Linked DNA regions of Caenorhabditis elegans. The protein of the gene in region 1 interacts with the protein of each later gene in a pairwise test. Each region holds a gene or a part of one and is shown on either strand. Other genes may lie near its edges.

The links.
Region 2: the proteins of spe-42 (region 1) and spe-9 interact in a two-hybrid assay, tested with the Caenorhabditis elegans proteins (one study listed by BioGRID).
Region 3: the proteins of spe-42 (region 1) and spe-38 interact in a two-hybrid assay, tested with the Caenorhabditis elegans proteins (one study listed by BioGRID).
Region 4: the proteins of spe-42 (region 1) and spe-29 interact in a two-hybrid assay, tested with the Caenorhabditis elegans proteins (one study listed by BioGRID).

What each region holds. Positions count from the first base shown.
Region 1 is NC_003283.11:11,733,011-11,739,023, reverse strand, and holds spe-42 (Dendritic cell-specific transmembrane protein-like domain-containing protein), read left to right. Parts: upstream 1-2,027; 5' UTR 2,028-2,055; coding exon 2,056-2,141; intron 2,142-2,186; coding exon 2,187-2,318; intron 2,319-2,369; coding exon 2,370-2,474; intron 2,475-2,521; coding exon 2,522-2,585; intron 2,586-2,635; coding exon 2,636-2,728; intron 2,729-2,775; coding exon 2,776-2,993; intron 2,994-3,065; coding exon 3,066-3,255; intron 3,256-3,299; coding exon 3,300-3,707; intron 3,708-3,763; coding exon 3,764-3,907; intron 3,908-3,957; coding exon 3,958-4,086; intron 4,087-4,141; coding exon 4,142-4,402; intron 4,403-4,449; coding exon 4,450-4,587; intron 4,588-4,844; coding exon 4,845-4,960; intron 4,961-5,007; coding exon 5,008-5,159; intron 5,160-5,202; coding exon 5,203-5,291; 3' UTR 5,292-5,484; downstream 5,485-6,013. Other genes in the region: npp-22 (Nucleoporin ndc-1), read left to right, coding at 5,554-5,630, 5,673-5,932, 5,980-6,013.
Region 2 is NC_003279.8:11,582,192-11,587,802, reverse strand, and holds spe-9 (Sperm transmembrane protein 9), read left to right. Parts: upstream 1-1,733; 5' UTR 1,734-1,755; coding exon 1,756-1,801; intron 1,802-1,862; coding exon 1,863-1,963; intron 1,964-2,025; coding exon 2,026-2,102; intron 2,103-2,149; coding exon 2,150-2,257; intron 2,258-2,346; exon of another isoform or gene 2,347-2,445; intron 2,446-2,477; coding exon 2,478-2,766; intron 2,767-2,816; coding exon 2,817-2,891; intron 2,892-2,943; exon of another isoform or gene 2,944-3,016; intron 3,017-3,120; coding exon 3,121-3,187; intron 3,188-3,244; coding exon 3,245-3,350; intron 3,351-3,393; coding exon 3,394-3,533; intron 3,534-3,602; exon of another isoform or gene 3,603-3,692; intron 3,693-3,777; coding exon 3,778-3,976; intron 3,977-4,024; coding exon 4,025-4,109; intron 4,110-4,152; coding exon 4,153-4,313; intron 4,314-4,367; coding exon 4,368-4,544; intron 4,545-4,592; coding exon 4,593-4,660; intron 4,661-4,710; coding exon 4,711-4,853; intron 4,854-4,900; coding exon 4,901-5,044; 3' UTR 5,045-5,060; and 1 more. Other genes in the region: C17D12.5 (UBC core domain-containing protein), read right to left, coding at 509-645, 872-1,025, 1,075-1,164, 1,514-1,552. UniProt on the Caenorhabditis elegans protein: Required for fertilization. May be required for cell adhesion and/or function as a signaling molecule.
Region 3 is NC_003279.8:10,963,935-10,968,263, reverse strand, and holds spe-38 (uncharacterized protein), read left to right. Parts: upstream 1-1,881; 5' UTR 1,882-1,950; coding exon 1,951-2,031; intron 2,032-2,174; coding exon 2,175-2,231; intron 2,232-2,281; coding exon 2,282-2,365; intron 2,366-2,655; coding exon 2,656-2,729; intron 2,730-3,453; coding exon 3,454-3,642; intron 3,643-3,691; coding exon 3,692-3,746; 3' UTR 3,747-3,792; downstream 3,793-4,329. Other genes in the region: impt-1 (Protein IMPACT homolog), read left to right, coding at 1-118, 1,658-1,774.
Region 4 is NC_003282.8:9,932,172-9,934,836, forward strand, and holds spe-29 (uncharacterized protein), read left to right. Parts: upstream 1-1,708; 5' UTR 1,709-1,738; coding exon 1,739-1,824; intron 1,825-1,880; coding exon 1,881-1,977; intron 1,978-2,021; coding exon 2,022-2,039; 3' UTR 2,040-2,151; downstream 2,152-2,665. Other genes in the region: F25H8.2 (H/ACA ribonucleoprotein complex non-core subunit NAF1), read left to right, coding at 182-226, 269-649, 699-807, 864-1,009, 1,057-1,300, 1,346-1,593.

The DNA.
Region 1 (6,013 bases):
GAGAAACATTAAAACGCGAAAAAACAATCAGACTAAAACAGTACAATAAAAGTTCAAGTATCGCAACAATGTCTGAACGATTAGGAGATGAAAGTGACCGACAGAGATGGGAAGGAATGTTGACTTGTTTAAAATAGTTTAAAACAAGAAACAGGTTGCAGAAAGTTAGAAATACGGGGTCGAATAACACAATGAAAAGCAGAAAAAAGGTACTCGAAAAACGATAAAAAAAAGTACGAGAGGAAATAGGTGGGCACGGGGGAAAGTGGGAGGAAAGGCTAATTAAACGGAAAAGGGGCAAGCAAAAGTCGAAATATGGTTACGGTTGATGGAAAGAAGGATTCAATTACTACGTACAATTGACCAAATTGATAATTGACGAACTTTTAAAAATTTTGTTTACTTTTTGTTTATGTTGTATTGTGTTGAAAACTAAATTGTGCCGAATTATACGCATCATTTTGAAAAAGGTAACTCTCTGCCAATTTTAAGTTCTTGAAAGTCATCTATCATCTAATTTGAACGGTTTTATTTATGTAAGCCAAGTCAGTAAGAAAGTGAGTTTAAAAAATAGATAATACAAAAAATAAATATGAAAAATAAATACAAAACCAAGATTTTGGCGAGTTTGTGGTTTCTTACAATAAATTCTTGATAGATTAACAGATACCTTCAAAAACAAATCAATGGTTGAAATACTAATTTTTAACGAAACCAGGAATTCCTACAACTGTCAAAATTAAACTGGCACATGGGAAATTGAGTATCAAACAAGCAAATTAATGTTTTCTAGTCAAATCAGGGATCAAACACAAAGAATAAAAAATCTAAGGTTGTGTAACCAATGAAAAACCGAACACTGACCAAGTTTAGTCAAATTGAAAGTGGGTGAAAAATGACTGTCGACCGAAAACCAGTCAGTATGAAAAGTCTGTTGAAATTGTCGCCGACAACGGGGGTAACCACGACGATTTCGGGTTTCACACACCATCAAATATATCCTTTTGTGCGTCTCTCTTATGGAACAATATACAAGTTACGATATATTTTTTTTTGATTTTCTGTCTCTCTACTATCCAAATTTTATATTTATTGGGGAAAAATGTACAGTATAGATTGAAGCCTGGTGAGCAATCGGAAGCAAAATCATTTTCTTTGTTTTTTGTTTTTTTTTATTCGTCGTATCTATTGAAAAGAGGCAACATTGCGTCGGAAGCCCCAAAAAGGGACGGGAATGACAGTACAATTGAATTCTTCTCTTCAGAAATCTGAAATTCTTCAGAGAATTAGAAATACAATTAAAAGTTGTGTTCGAGGGGACAAGAACATAACCACACCCATCCGTTTTATTGAGGATCTGAATGTTCACGTCATAAAATGAAAAAAAAGGGGTTTGTTTATAGGTGTTCTCTATATCGGATTGACCCAAATCGGCCTACAAAAAGAGGAAATGAGATATGAAGTGGCAATAGATACAGTGATATGATAACAAGCATTACGATAAGCAACTCGTTTTTTTCATTGCAATGAAGCAACGAAAATTAGTGAACGCCTGTTCCGAAATCAGATGTACTTCTGGTGATAAAAAGAAATAAACAATCGATGTACTTTTGGTAACGTGTATTCTGTAATTCAGTTCACAAATGTTTGAAAAATTAATATTGTTGCCAGCGGTTCCGAGAGATGTATATCCTATAGTTAGTGTATACTATAGTTCCATTGAAGCTCGTAGTTCTGAAAAATTCGAAATAATTGGTTTCATAGGCACACAAGTAGGCACATTTTGCTTGAAAACCTTATTCTAACTTTTCCACGTATAACCGTTTCAAAACATGAGCTATTGAATCACATAGGTCTCAAATGCCAATCCGTTTGGCTCTCTTGGCTCTTTAGTAAGCAAAGCCGAGAAAAGGGACACCTGCAGTTTCCCAATTCGGAGAAAATGTTCAAAACGTGAACTCAAATCTGTTTGCCAGCGGTTCACAAATTTTCAAAACGTATCATGGTGAAAATATTTATTTCACCTTTTTAAAATCTAACTGAATTGTATCAACTATGGGCTTAATTGGATTATGGAATGTAAAACGTCGAGCCAATCGAGCTGTGAGAAAGTTTCAATTTGTGGTTAATAATATCAGACGGTTGGTTAGAGTGTGGATTTTGTTCAAACACATGAAAAATTTCAGAGAAAAATCAGGTCAAAACCGAGTTTTAAGATATTCTGAACGTTTGAAAAAATGGTTGTCCGTTTTATATCCTCCATGGAAAAAGGAAAAAGATGATGGGATTTATGACAATTTATTCGAAGATGGAACAAGGTTTTTGGAATTATTTTGAGAAAAAAGAAAATCTTAAAATTATTTTTCCAGAGCTAATTCTATTGTACTTCTATTCCGAAACATCCTAATGATTGAATTATTTGGAATAGTTATGTATTTTCTGTTGTCGTTCAAATATTCACAATACCCGGAGTTGTAAGTAGATCATATCCTAAATCTAAAGTTAAATATTTTCAATATAGTATTGGAACTTCCATATCCACAATTATCCACGTTTTTCTGATTTTCACTTTGATATTTCCAAAAGTAAGTACTTCAGGATTTTTATGTGGAATTAATAAAATATTTCGTTTCAGATGATGACGTACTTTATGATTTCTATCCACGTCATGTTGACTACAAAAATCAAAAACATAATTTTAATTCTTCTTGTCACAATGGCTTTTGAAGTTTTATCAATTCATCTATTCACGGGAACATCTCAAACTAATTTCAGGGTCCTGCAATGAATGTTATTGGAAATATTCATCAAGTAGCTTCTGGTGTTGCCTGCGTTCAAATTGATGTTATGAGTTCAAGAAATGATGTGGAAGGGAATGTAATGGATAAAGGAGCTATGCTTGTTTCTCGGTTTCGTGCACTTCTTCAAAATGTATCTGGTCCAATGAATAAGGTCAAGAAAATGCTATTGGTTCTAGATGAAAAGATGACAAAGTAAGTTGCAATTGGGATACCCAAAATGTCAAATTCTTGTAATTTGATTAAATTGATATTGTTTCAATTAAGATTTGTGGACATCATGAGGCGACATTATCGAGTTATAGCCAACTTGTCAAATCAATGTCGAAATATGCTCAAAACTCCCTATACAAAATGTCTTGATATTTTCGACGACGCATATTTTTATTGTAAGGGGAAAGCTCGATTTTTTGGAAGCCACGGCGATGCTTGTGAAATGATTCAGAAAACTGCAAAGGTATTCAATCAGTCAACATATCAATCCTATTATAAAACATTAAGATTTGCCATCAAGCAAAGGGTTTCTCAACGGAAGTATGTTCTTTACCTTCTATCATTGGAAAAGGAGTTAAAGGAGCAGCTGTACCATTTTATGCAGCTTACTTTCAAGCAATTGAATTCGCGGTGAAAAAGATTTTCTACGTACACATTGAAGCAGCAAAATGGGCACTGAAGAAAGTGAATCCAGTGATAGAAGAGATAAAAAAGGCGAAAAACATTCGAGCTGAATACCAGTCATCTGATGATGGTAAACCAAATGCTGCAGATGATACAACTGCAAACTTGAGAGCAAGTATAAAGAAAAGTTTGATGGGAATTGTGAATGTATACATACGGATTATCAATATAATTTCATTTATTCTTCGATATTGTATCATGCCAGGATTGCTCATATGGCCGTTCATCTATGTGAGTTTAAATAAGTAATATGTTAACATACAAAATTTTGAACTGATATTTTTCAGACACTTCGGTTCATGTATAACTACAACTATAATGACGACTTTAAAAACCGTTTTCTCACAAAAGAATTTACAAAAATTGATCAAGATTGTGCATTTCGCGGAGCTCGTAAAGTCATGCCATTAATGGCAAATGAATCAAAGCAGGTAGGTTTCTCTGGTTCATTATCATTCTAAAAATCTTAGACACCGTTTAGTATGTCAGTCGAGGTCAGTGGAAAATGACAGAACAAGAGCGACCTAAATTTCGATTAGATATTTTCATCACAATTGTCAGTTGTGTCACTCCTTTCTTTATGTGTATGCTTGATTATGGTATATTTACGGTAATTAAATGAATAAAATTATATTGACTTCAAATCTATAGATTCAAAGTTTCAGACTCTATCAACTGTTCATACTTTAATGAACCGAACAAATATCGATACTCCTGCTCATTATGAATTGAAAGTTGCTGGAAATAGTTCAATGTCAGATGTGATGAATGAATTTCTCGATGTTTTCAGTCCATTTACTAAAAGTATTCGAGACCGTGAAAATCGTTGGAGACGATGTTTCAACGAACCAAATCCTCCAAACTATACAGAAAATATGGTGATGTTTCTCATGTTTATCGCTGCACTTTTTCTTTGTCGATTGAAGGTTTGAAGAGTTGAGGAGTACTGTTAAGATATATTTAATTTTTGAAGGCATATTTTGGAAGGCAAACACTTGTATTGGCAGATTACTTCTTTCCGAATCGAGTAAGAATTCGTGCATTGAGCCTTTATAACAAAATTTTACAAAGTCGACGAAATTTGCTGACAGAAATGTTAGGAAATAATAAGGTAAATGGGAATTTCCGGTCTCGAGTTGACTGAAATATTTTCAATTCCTCGATATTCACAACTTAAACATTGAAAAAAAGTTAGCCACTACAGTACTACTTACTACATCACTACGTCACCGGTACCGTATTTTTTGAGTGATAAATCCCGATTTTGCGAATTGATAGTATTCAAAAACAGATATATTTTTTCCTGAATTTGACATTCCGATTTGATTTAAAAGTAATTTTTGCACTCGTAACATTGATAATTGACAGAAAGATGTAGTGGGTGGTGAAGATGTCATAATTCGGAGAACAATGCAAAGTCGTGGATTCGTGTGCTCCGATTGTGTAAAATGTGAAAAGTACGATATGAAAGTGTCTGATCAAGAGTTAGTTTTGTTTATTGATGATCAAGAAAACAAAGCTATTAATTCAGAAATGTGCGAGTGTGTGTTCATTGTAGTGCTTTTTACTGTATCAACTGTTTCTCAGTGACTCTTTTCTGTGTGAAATGCGAGGAGGAAATGCAATGTATTAACGGGATTGAGCTATACTATGAGGAGAGTAACGCAATTATTGATGACTCAGGTAAAATTAACTTTATTTAAACATTAATAATCATCTATTCCAGATATTTCATTGAGTGAACGCGAAGACGACGAACCTGACAAAGAACCAACAGAAGGAACAACCACCACCGCAGTAACCACTGTCGTCTGAATGATGTTTGAAAAATTAACTTTCCCGCCGTTGGGGAAAGCGCGCTCCAATGACAATGTACTTTTCGAGTTCAAATTTATTTGCCTTTTGGCGCAGTTTTCGAAATGATTTCGTTCATTTATTAGTTTTCTTATTATTTCCTCGAACTTCAATGATTATTTTCCAATTGAATTCAAATAAATTATCATTTAAACTTCATTTTATTTGTTATTTATGGGTTTTCCCGTTTGGAACTCTAATTCACTGATTTATTGTTTCAGAAATGATGGGTGATAGTCATTCTTCATTCACAACAACGACAGATGAACATCTATATAATCAATTTTCTCCGGGAAGAAGGTATCAATTAAGTAAAGATTCATACAATGAGAATAATTATAGAAAGAACGATTTTCCCGCTGCAAGCAGTTCATCATCTTCACCAAACTTGCGAAGGTCCCCAAACCGCACAGTCAGTTCACCGCGTGTTCAACAGAAGCCAATCACAATTTTCGATCAAATCGTGGATTGGTTTCAAGCGGAAATCAGTGTTAGAAAGAGATTAGCTGGTGCTGCATGCGGATATCTGTCCACCATTTTCTTCATTGTCACAGTATCCATTTTGAAACTCACGATTTGGGCCCCTTTCAGCTCAGTTCAAGGTTGACGTTTATTTATTTTTCTATGATTGGACATTTCTCTTTTTCAGACTCCCTGGCGTGGTGGATTTATCCAAACGCATG
Region 2 (5,611 bases), on another chromosome or scaffold:
GCGGTAGGGGTTCTGTAGTGATACTGTAGAATTGCTGTCGGCTTACTATAGTGTTGCTGTAGTGTTGCTGTAGGGTTACGGTACAGATACTGTAGGGGTACTGTAGTAATAATTTAGGATAACTCGAGGGGTTCCTTAGTGGTACTGTAGTGATAATTTAGTAGTACTGTAGGCCTATTGTAGCGTTACTGTAAGGGTATCATAGTGGTACTTACTCGATGGAGTACTGTAGCATTACTGTAGGGTTACGGTAGCGTTTCTGTAGGGGAGCTGTAGTGGTACTGTATGGTTACTGTAAGAGTACTTTAGGGTTACTGTAGGGATGATGTTGGGGTACTGTAGGACTACTGTAGGAGTAGTGGGACTGAGACGATAAATTCTTAATTTTCTTCAAGTGGTTTGGTCAGTCACCCATACATCCCGAGAAGTCTATTCCATTTCCACCTGTTTCAATGTAAAAAACTCAATTTAAACATTCAAAACTTTATTTTTTCTACTCAAAAATCAATCAATCAGCTTTCTGTGGCGACTTTGCAGGCGAAGCACTAGTTGGCGTACGTGCTTGTGGTGGACGGATGCGTGGAAGAACCGGTGCACGGGGGACCAGGTCTCGACGCGAAATCACACTGCAGGCTTCGATAAGGACTGAAAAATGAATATTGTAGGTTTAAGGTAGGCACATGGTAAATAAAATTTCGAATCACTAAAAAATTGTATCAGTAACCAGACAACAAACAAGAGATTATCAACGGATTTAGTACTGAAGCCTCTGAAAAAGAAAATAGAAAAATCCGGTTGTTTTGCTACCAAAAAAATACGTTCAGGATAATTTTTTCGCTGAAAAAAGGGGAGAATTATCGATTTTCTCTACCTGCAACAATTCCGGTAGACGGTTTCCATTGATTTTCCTCCAAAAACAGGAATTTCATATTTTTATCAGTTTTGCAAGTGATCGCCGGCGGCGAGAACGGGAATTTCGGCGGAATTGCGACGGTTACGATGTACTCGGTGTAGGGCGGTCCGTACTGAAATTTGATTATTGATTTTTTTTTTGCGTGGCGCCGCCGCTCTCACCGTCTTTAGAGTCACGTCAAAGCAAGTTTTCGACGGCGGCGGCTCGAATCTCACCGCGTAGAACATTCCAGAACCCTCGACAGCCGACGCCTGGAAAAGAATTAATATTTAGAAAATACATCGATTTTTGTTCTGAAAGTAGGGCTCCCATGAGGTCGCCGCATGAATAGTGTGGCGCGGAACCGCAAACATGTCGGCCGCTACCAAATAGCCGCTCCACACACACAGCGGCGCGCGGTGTCGGCGTAAGGCCGGCCGGATAGGGCCAGAGAGGGGCCGGCGTGAAGCCCGAATTTTGCGCCTCACTCAGTTGGGAGCCCTGGGAGCCCCATTTGAAACATTTTTAACTTTCCCAGAAATTCTCGACAATTTTCTGAAAACCTGTCGGTTTTTTTATTGATTTTTCCCCAAAAATCAATAAACTAGAACGCTAACTCACCACGACGCTATCGATCCGTTTTTCGCAAACTTTTTGCATTATTACTTTGAAATTTTCGTGAAATAAATGTTATTCTGGTGTTGGTTGTGTTGTTTTTTGCCGTCGACAGTGAGTTTTCACGTTTTATCGATTTTTTCGAGCATTATCGATTTATCCCGAAAAATCAATAAACTGGAACGTCACGATGCTATCGATTCGTTTTACGCAATCTTTTTGCATTATTGCTCTGAAATTTTCGTAAAATGAATGTGATTCTGGTGTTGGTTGTGTTGTTTTTCGCCGGCGACTGTGAGTTTTTCATGTTTTATCGATTTTTTTCGGAAAAATTATCGATTTTTTTAATTTTCAGGTGCAAAAATCAGAAAAATTATTGATTTTTTGGAGAAAGATGCTCCGAATGATATTGAAAAAACACCCAACTATAATGAAGAAAGTCTGGCGGTGAAAAGGGTAAATTATCGATTTTTGCGATGGGGCGCGTTTGCATTTTTATGGAATTTAAATATTTTTAGAACAAAAACTTCAATCCTTGTCTGGAAAATCCGAAAATTTGCTCAAATCGGGGAAAATGCTTGCATGAAAATGGAAAGTGAGAGTTTTTGCCAACTTTTCAGATTAAAAAGGCAATATTTTCAGCTTCTATTGCATTTGCCCGGTCACACATTACGGAAAAACGTGTGAACACGTGTCAGATCAAACGAATTGCGAGAAACACTTGTGTCAGAATAATTCTACGTGTGTCAGGTTGGAAAACATTCGTTTTTTTCTGTGAATTTTTATGGCAACTGTTTCGGTGTACACAAGTTGTGTCTATGCCCTCCAGCCGTTAGTCGCCGGCGGAGAGATGGCCGAGCGGTCCAAGGCGCTGGTTTAAGGCACCAGTCCCTTCGGGGGCGTGGGTTCGAATCCCACTCTCTTCAGTTCTTTTTTTCCCTTTTTTAAATTATCATTACCTCTGTTTCAGCATCAAAAGCCTGCGGACTATTGTCAATACAGTTCTTTTGAGACAAATTCGTGTCCAAAGAAAAGTAAACGGATCCAAAGCAGCTTTAACAAATGAAGAATTGGCTGAAATCGATTTAGAAGTGAATTACGAGTGTATATGCCAAAAGGGGTACTTTGGCGGGTTATGCGATGAGTCTGAAGCAGATCGAACTTGCCAAGAAGTGTATTGTTTGGGCAGAGGCAAGGGAGCAATTAATGCGACTGGAAAATGCGAGTGTGAATGTGAAAATCAATTCTTTGGAGATAGAGTGAGCGTTTACAACTTCAGAATTTCTTCTGAAATATGTTTAAATTCCAGTGTGAACAAATATCAGCTTGCTTCGACACTCAATGTGATAATGGTGGAATATGTGAAGATGTGGTAGATTGGAAGGTATTTTTTTCAAGATTCGAGAAAATATTTTATCTAAACATAGAAAAACGTAAGCCCAATGCGGGGCTCGAACCCGCGACAACCAGATTAAGAGTCTGGTGCTCTACCGACTGAGCTAACCGGGCGGCGTTAACTCTTACAACAGAGGGTCTAGAGAAATGTTGGGTAACAACGAGACTTGATAGACAGAACAAAAAGTGACCTTCAAATTACACACCTTCTATTTCAGACCAAAACCGTCACTGCCACCTGTAAATGTCCTTCTGCGATTGAACTTATTGGTGGTACTGTAACAGGTGGGTAAAAAAAAAAAAAAAATATTTCAAATTCTGTGAATTTCAGAAAAATTTCAGGTGAAAACTGCGAAACCCTTCAAATTCCTTCAACAGCCCCCAAAGAATTTATTCCATGTGCCGAGGGAAGTAATTCGACGATGTTTTTTAAGAAATTCATCGCAAAGTAGGAAAAGTTTATAGAATGGTTGTAAAACTCACATTTTCAGTATTTCCTTGGAATATATGGATGACATTTCGGAGTTGGAAGCAATTAAAAATGACTACAATGATGGGAAGAATGTCAATGGGACGATGACTGATGGATGGTGTAGAAATGATGGGAAGTGTGTACCTGAAGTTGTTCGAGGTAGGAAAATTCAATTACCACAATTCTCCCGGTAACTCAACTTTTTTCTAACACCTTTTTGTCAGTACGTTCGCCGCCCGGTTAGCTCAGTCGGTAGAGCACCAGACTCTTAATCTGGTTGTCGCGGGTTCGAGCCCCGCATTGGGCTTACGTTTTTGTAAAAATTTTTAACACCGCGCTAAAACGTATGCACAAAATTCTGGCCTATGCCTGCCTTGTTCCATTCTCATACCTAATGTTTCAGTGAACAGCTCCCGAGCCTACTACATCTATCGCTGCGAATGTACCAATCCTCTCACCGACGGTTACTATTGTGAGTACAAACGCCATGACTCTTGCTCTTTGACTCGAGAGGAGGTGGCTCGCGGGGACCGGTGGGACGAAAAGTGCACGGATTCTCAACACGGAGCATGTGTGGATATTAGTGGAGTGGCTCATTGTGTGTTAGTGCACCTACCTGCCTGCCTTTTACCTAGTAGCCCTAATTTCAGATGCAAGCCGGACTACACCGGCGAGAAATGCGAAATCTTCGACCCGTGTGCTCGGCAACCTTGCAAGCACGGTGACTGTATCCCGGTAGGCACATCGAGGCCTCTGAAAATCAGCGAAAAAATTTCAGATACCGAACACTGCCGACGTGGCATTCGGCACAAGTCGCTATCAATGCTTATGCCCATTATCCGCAAAGTTGAACCCGGAAAGCCAAGCCTGCATGGAAATTAACGAGAAGAAGTGTGCTCCCGGAGCCTGTGGCAACGGACGGTGTGTTCCTTGTGAGAGGTAAGAGATTGCCTTTGTACCTACCTACCTACCTACCTACTTTAATATTTTCAGCGATGCCGATGACCTGATGCCTCTCTGTAACGACAATGACAATCGCCAGGGATTCCGATGCCTCTGCGAAGCCGGGTACCTTCCACCGTTTTGCAAAGTCCATACAAACCCCTGCTACCAAAACCTGTGCCAGAACAGTGCCACATGCCATATCGACCCAAAGCAGCGGAGTTATGAGTAGGGCTACAAACTACAGATACTGCAAACTACAGTCGTTCTTTTCAGCTGTCAATGCGTCAATGGGACACGTGGCTCGTTGTGTGAGAATGTGGATGACTCGTGTGATGCGTTTGGTAAGTTAGAAGCTTCATGTTTACCTGCCTGCCTACCGCTAAGCCTACAGGAAACAAAATCTGCGTCCATGGAACCTGTATCAATGATGAGTACTTTCACCGGGGCTTCTCGTGTGAGTGTGACGACGGATTTGAGGGTCTCGACTGCAACGTGGAAATCGCCTGGTCCAGTGTGATGACCAATCGGCTTATGGTAAATTACTCAAATAGTTTAAAATATAATATTTCTGCGTGTTTCAGAAGAACTATGAATTTTCGTTGCCACTGGTTGCGTGCTTCGTCTCGCTGGCTATTCTTCTGCCAGTGATTGTGATCAGTAGACGGCGTCAGGGAAGAGTAGAAGAGGCGAAGAAAACGTCAGAAGTGAAAACTGAGAATCCATAAAGACATTTTTTTTTAATTAATTGTTATTTAACATCTATAAAGCTTTGCAAATATCAGAAAGTTTTGCTCAGGAAATGATCGGTGACACACGGATTCATATTTACGGCGCATTGCGTGTCGCGTCGCGGCTCAATTTTAGCTGTAAAACTAAATGTATTTGTCCGTGTCGAATACACGACTGTCCCACGCGTTGTCCGGCGGGCGATTGCCAATGTAGCGCTCAAATTTCAATGAGGCACGTGTAGTCAGAAAGTCCCATTTCGCTTTGATCTACGAAAAATGCGAGAGGTGAGACGCAGGCATCTCAACTGATTTCGCATGGTTAAGAGTGTGCTGACATCACAATTTGTCTGGAAAAAAATTCCCGCATTTTTTGTAGATCAAACCGCAATGAGACTTTCTGACGCCACGTGATGAGGAAGGCCAGAACCCCGTGGTGCTAGTCCCTCTCTATTTCTCACTATTAGGGGGTCTGCATGGTAGGCAGGCATTGATTCAGGTGGCAGGTCTATCCTGATACCTACCTGACAACCTGCCGTAGGTCTCTTTGAAGGTAGGCATAATTTT
Region 3 (4,329 bases), on another chromosome or scaffold:
TATGACTGAAATCAATGGAAAACCAATTCATCATCATGATTGTGTGGATGATGGGGAATTTGGAGCAAGTTCGAAAATGTTAGAGCTCATGGATCGAATGAAAGCGGATAATGTGATGGTAATAGCTTTTTTTCCGCGAGAAAATCCGCTGAAAATTGAGCAAAAACGATGAATTTCGGGTTTTGAGTGAGGCTCAGGGGGTTTTGTAGTTTGTAGTCTCTGAGTCTCACCCAATTTTTGAATTTTCTATTAGTTTTTTTGTAAAAAAGTGAAATTCGTTAATTTTTTTGCGTTTCTTGAACATTTTCAATTTGAAACTCGAAAAAATTCGAATTTTAGTTTCAAACACACCCTGAAATTCCGTTTTTGGTGAGGCTGAGCCGGGGTTTGTAGTTTGTAGTCTCTGAGCCTCACCCAAATTTCCATAGTTATTTTAACGGTTTTTTCCTGTAAAAATAAACTTTTCCACTGGTTTTTCCAAAAATATTGAGAAATCTTGTTATTTTTTTGGGTTTCTTTTTAAAAAAATTCGAATTTTAGTTCAAAAAACACTCAAAAACCGATAAAATTCAGCTTTTTGTAGTTTGTAGTCTCTTAGCCTCACCATTTTTTTTTAGTTTTTTAACAGATTTTTTCTGTAAAAATATAGTGAAATTCGTTATTTTTTGCGTTTCGTGAACATTTTCAATGTGTAACTCAAAAAATTCGAATTTTATTTTGAAAAACACCCTAAAATCAAGTTTTGAGTGAGGCTCGGAGCATTTTGTAGTTTGTAGTCTCTCAGCCTCACCCATTTTTCGTAGCTTTTCAACGGATTTTAGCGGTAAAATAGGATTTTCTACTAGTTTTTTTTTCGCAAAAAAGTAAAATTTATTAATTTTTCTGAGTTTCGTAATTATTTTCAATTTGAAACTCGAAAAAATTCGAATTTTAGTTTCAAACACACCCTGAAATTCCATTTTTGGTGAGGCTGAGCCGGGGTTTGTAGTTTGTAGTCTCTGAGCCTCACCCAAATTTCCATAGTTATTTTAACGGTTTTTTCCTGTAAAAATAGAATTTTCTACAAATTTTTTAAATCAAAAATTGTGAAATCCGAATTTTTTTATGGGTTTTTAAAAAAATTCAAATTCTAGTTCAAAAAATACTCAAAAACCGATAAAATTCAGCTTTTTGTAGTTTGTAGTATCTGAACCTCACCGAAATTCCAAAATTTCTCAAAAAAAATTTGTTTTTTTTTGGTTTGTAGTTTGTAGTCAAGAAACTATAGTTTGTAGTGGTCCTGAGCCTTTTTCCAGAATATATTTTTGTAGTTTGTAGTCGCACGTGGAGTCAGAAAGTCCCATTTCGTTTTGATCTTCGAAAAATGCGGGAGAAGAGACGCAGACATCTCATCTCATTTCGTATGGTTAAGAGCGTGCTGACGTCACAATTTTTCTGGAAAAATATCCCCGCATTTTTCGTAGATCAAACCGCAATGAGACAGCCTGACACCACTTGTAGTCGAAAATAGCAAGATTGTTCAAATTCATTAGAAAAAATGTTTTTGTAAGAAAAAAGATTGATTTTTGCATATTAAAAATCTTAATGCTTAAAAAACTGAAAATTTTCCAATTTTGTAGTTTGTAGTCTCTGAGCCTCAACCAATTTCTTCTTTCAGGTCGTCGTTTCACGTTGGTACGGTGGAATTCATCTTGGACCCGATCGTTTTCGACATATTAATAATTTAACTCGGCAAATTTTAAGTGATAATAATTATGGACCGAAGAAGTCTTAAAATTCTATATTTTTTAACGTGATAATTTTTTTTTCTTCAATTTTAAACTCCCTACGTGTGCTTTTAATATTATTAATCCAACAACTCTTTCAAATTGTAATCATTTTCATTTATTTTTCAAAACATTGGTCACTTTATACTAATAAATAGTTTTTCAATCAAATATGCGTTTTCTGATGGAGTTGGGCTCACCGAACGATGCAAACTACACTGTATTCTGCTGTTCTCATGTCGTTTTGGCTTTTGCCATTTTTATGGTAATTTTTGGAAGTGTTCTGGGATAATTTTTGGAATTTTGGAATTAAAAAATTTTTTGAAAATTTTGGGAAAATTTTTTTTTTTTTCAAAAATTTCAAAACGTTTTTTTCACTTTTTTTTTTGAATTTCAAATATTTTCCAGATCCTTGACTTTACCCTAACTCTATTCTCATTTGGCTTAGAGCTTTTCCTCATTTTCGTAAGTTTTTCTCCTGAAAGTTCCCCTCAAAATCCCCAATTTTCCTGCAGTTCCACGACACTTTTGACCAATTTTGGGCGATTTTTCACGGAATTTCACTGGTTACTTCAATTTCCGCAGTTTTGGCGATTTGTGTGAGTATATTTGGCGGAAAATTTGAGAAAATCTGAAATTTTTGACTTAAATTTTAGGAAATTTTTTTTCTTAATCTGAAATTTTGAAGCTGTTTTCCCAAAAAAATCAATAAAAAAGCCTACGATTTCCATAATTACCAAAAAAAAAATCCAAAATTTCCTCATTTACACTCAAAAAAACCGTAAAACCCCGAGATTGAAGCTCAGACTACAAACTACAATGTTGGTTGAGGCTGAGCGCAGAATTGTAGTTTGTAGTCTGAGCCTCACCCAACATAATTATATTTCAGGATAATCCAGTGGCAATTATTGTTTATGGGTGTCGTGTTATGTTGATTTTGGGATTCGTTACAACTCGGTTCATGTGAGTTTGACTACAAACTACAAACTACAAACTACAAACTACAAACTACAAACTACAAAATGCAAACTACAAAATGCAAACTACAAAGTACAAACTACAAACTACAACTGGGAGGAACAAGCTTGCTGAGACTACAAACCACAATTTGGGGTTGCAACTCAAAAAGTTGTAGTCTGTAGTTAGTTTGTAGTTTGTAGTTTGTAGTTTGTAGCTTGTAGTTTGTAGTGTGCACTCTGTTTTTTGTAGTTTGTAACTTGCAAGTCATATTAGAAACATATTAGCAATTTTCCAAAGTTTCAAAATTCTCACCTAATTTCGCAATACCGATATCAGTACAATAAGTCTTATGGAAGTTGTAGTTTGTAGTTTATAGTTTGTAGTTTGTAGTTTGTAGTTTGTAGCCTGCAAGTGATGTTCGAGACGTATTGGCAATTTTCCAAAATTTCAAATTTCTTACCTAATTTCTCTAAACCAATACTAGTGCAATACGTGTTAGGGAAATAGTAGTTTGTAGTTTGTAGTCTGTAGTATGTAGTTTGTAGTTTGAATTTTGTAGCTTGAAAGTCATATTCGAGACATATTGAGGCTTTTCCAAAATTTCAAATTTCTCACCTAATTTCACAATACCGATATCAGTGAAATACGTGTTAAGGAAATTGTAGTTTGTAGTTTCTAGTGTGTAGTTTGTAGTTTGTAGCCCTTCCAACCCATTTCCAAACTTCAGAATCTCAATGCGTGATTTCACATCAAAAGAAGAGCCAACTCTGAGTGAATTGTTGAATTTATTCCAAATCGTGATTGTGATAATGTACACAATTGGCATTTTCCTAGTGATTCGTCTATTTACCTATTCAGCTGGAAGATATCGTGGATATTATGACGTGGATGATGATTTGAAAGACGAAATTCGAAAGTATGTTTTTAGGGATTTTGAAAAATTGAAAAAAATACGTTTTTTTCAGAAAATTCCTGGAGTATGAGGCGGATTTGGATGAGAAATCAGAGAAGAAGGATTAATTTTTTTAAACTTTTGAATGATTTTTAATAAAATGGCTGAGTAGTTTGGGTTTTCAACCGGAATTCAAATTTTCCTTCAATTTTTTTCTTTCTGCTCATTGAACAGGTCTCATAAGCTCGAGAAACTTCTGGAATGGATAATTTTTTGACTCTGTCGAAAAAGTGTCAATATTAATGCAAATTATGAAAATTTATTCTCAGAAACAATTACAATCATGTATTATAAACGTTTCTGCCATTCACCAAGCAGTCGGTACAACTTTTTTTTACCCAACACGATTCCGGACTTCTTGCTCCAGCGCAGTTTGCAATCCAACCATCACTTCTCACATCTTTATCACAAGTTTCCGCACATTTTGGTCTTTCAGCTTTTGGACGTAGTTCAGAACACGCAATACGGCAATAATCGTACCGATAGGTATAGGCATTACAGGCCGAGAGGCACAACAGCAGGAATAGTACGATTTTGGTTATCATTATGATGAAGTAGAATATGGTGATATTTAAAATTTTAAAAACGTGGAATTTGAGTTATTCGTTTTTAAGACAATTGTTATGCTACTTAGGCCCCGTCAACTGTCAA
Region 4 (2,665 bases), on another chromosome or scaffold:
ATATATTTTTTAATGTTTTCAAAAAAAAAAATGAGAGAAATCAGTGAAATGCAAACATGCTCCAATGACAAACTAACAAACGACACTCCGATTTCGCGTCAAAAATTTTTTCAATTAAAAAATTTATTTCGTTTTTAGGTTAATTCTTTTATTTACACTCATTGCAAAAATATTATCAAGAATGGAGGAAGAAACAATTAAAGTCGAAAATCTGGATGATTCAATTGTATGTTTTCCTTTTAAATTCCAAAAATATTCCATATTTTAGACTATCGATCGAAATCCTGTGCCACTTGCTTTCTGTGCTCGACCAACACTTCCCGCAAAAATTGGAATGAAGACAGAAGATGGAATCGTCGATCAACTTTTGGATCTTGTTGATCCTATCACCGTTGTGAATCCTACTGAAATTCGCCAGGCTCCATCATTGAAAAGCTTCGGATGCGACACTGAAAGTGAATTTGAGTTTTCTGGAGATGATAGCGATTTCGAAAATATCAACGATTTACGAGCCGGTGCACTTGATTCTGATGAAGAGTTTGACAGGCTAGTAAAGTTTTCCGCAAAGATTATTGAGAAGACACACAAGTCAGAGTACCCGGATGAAAATGGAAAAAAGCAGCGGAAGCCAAAAAAGTCACAAAAAACGGTAAGGTTTCATTATTTTGAAATGTTTTTTCGAATGATTAGATTTCTAGCGTAATGTTCACGAGTATGATGATATGCCACCACTCGAGAATCTCAGTATTGAATGTAAAGGACAATTGCTGGAATTTGGTTTTGTAAGCAAAGTCGTGGATTGTCAAGGTAAATTGTCAAAAATGTCAACCTTATATAAAATGTTAATTGAATTGGTATTTCAGTTGTTATCATTTCAACATGCACAGAAGTTCTCGACTTCGATTCATTTCTTTTCGATCAAAAAGGAAATGCGTTGGGACAAATTTATGACATTTTTGGACAAGTCAAAAATCCACAATACGTTATTCGATTCAATTCTTGTGAAGAGGTGAAGCTTTTAGTAGACAAATAAAATATATAACAGAAGTTTTATAGGCATCGATGATACCCATTGACATGAAAGTATATTATGCTCCTACAGAAGAACAATTTTCCAAAACTCCATTCAAAGGACTTAATCTTGCTGCAGCAAATAGGGATGCTATTAAATCCCTAAATCGTCGCATTGATCATCAAGAAGCTGTTGCAAAAGCTGGTGAAACGATGGCTCAGGTTGGCATCGGTAGTGACGTGGAGTTCAGTGATGATGAAGCGGAGAAAGAATTTAAACGCACCACATGTAAGATATAATTGAAATTTACTTTCAAATTCTAGTAATTTTCAGATACCCAACCAGCTAGTCAAATGTCAAGAGGATTCGATTCGAACAGAGGGCGAAAACGAGATCGCCGCGGAGGACAAAAAGTTAGATTTTCTGCTCAGAATCCACCTGCCAGATCGGATAATCTTGGGCCCATCCCTCAGCAGCCATCTGCGCCACCGCCACCTGCTCGTCCAGCACAATCAACCGAATCAAATCCATATGCCGAATTCGGATGTCATTCTGGATTCAACGGACGTTTTGGAATTTAATTTTTTGTTAAAATATCGTTACACATTGAATACTTTGTTGGATATATTGTAACATTTTTTCGTTGTTATTGTTGCACTTTTGGAATTGACGCGTGAATAAACTTCATTTTTACATTTTAAAATCATAAATTGCTATAATATCAAAATGACGAATAGTCATACTCACAACGGAAACCGAATTTGGTTCATCTGCAGCTGGGAAAATGGTCCAATTTGTTATGGAATGGCTCTGTGAGTTCAAATTCTTCGCAGCTGTGAGCTATGCTCTGGAAATCGTATTTTTTCAGTGATCTTATTGGGGGAATTTCTTTGATTGCTTTCTCAGTTCTTCTCGTCGGAGTCATATTTTTCGGATGGTTTGGAATATTTCCAAAAGTTATTCGAGTAAGCTTCACGAGTAATTCTAATTTTTGTATGTTTTCTTTCAGCGTAAACTTCACGATTGAATTTTATATTTTTATTATAACGTTCAGAAGAAGGCGAGGCTCTATTACTCTATTTTAATAAAATATTTGAATTGACTAAAGTTTAATAAATATTATGCAGTGCTATGAAAAACTTGTGGGTAAAGTGGAATAGAGAAAAAAAGAGAAAAGAAAGGAACGGCAGGAAGAAGCTGGCTGAAAATTAGAATATCTAAAAAAAACAATTAATAAAAAAAGATTAACTGGAAGAAGGAAAGCAGCGGGTGGGTTGGAAAAGTGAAAAAAGGAAAGGCAGTATAATAGGAAAACAAGGATTTTTGAAACATAGAAAACAAGGAAAGCAAAAAAAGAAAACAACTGGAAATAAGGAAAGATTTAAAGCTCAGGCTATAATGAGTATGTAATTGAACTGAACAAATTAAAAAATAAAAACAAAAAAGATTCTCCTGCGATAAGACTAAATTACTTAGCGAAGTTAGGACAGGAGCAAACATCGATCAGGAAAATCAAACTTCAGCGATTCGCAAAATTGATGGATATACATATCGAGAAATTTTAAACAGTTTCCGCTTCTTTTTTGTTCAGAAACTTTGTTCAAGAATGTCTAAATTGCCCCCATATATCTCACAATTCAGCGAATTTCAATA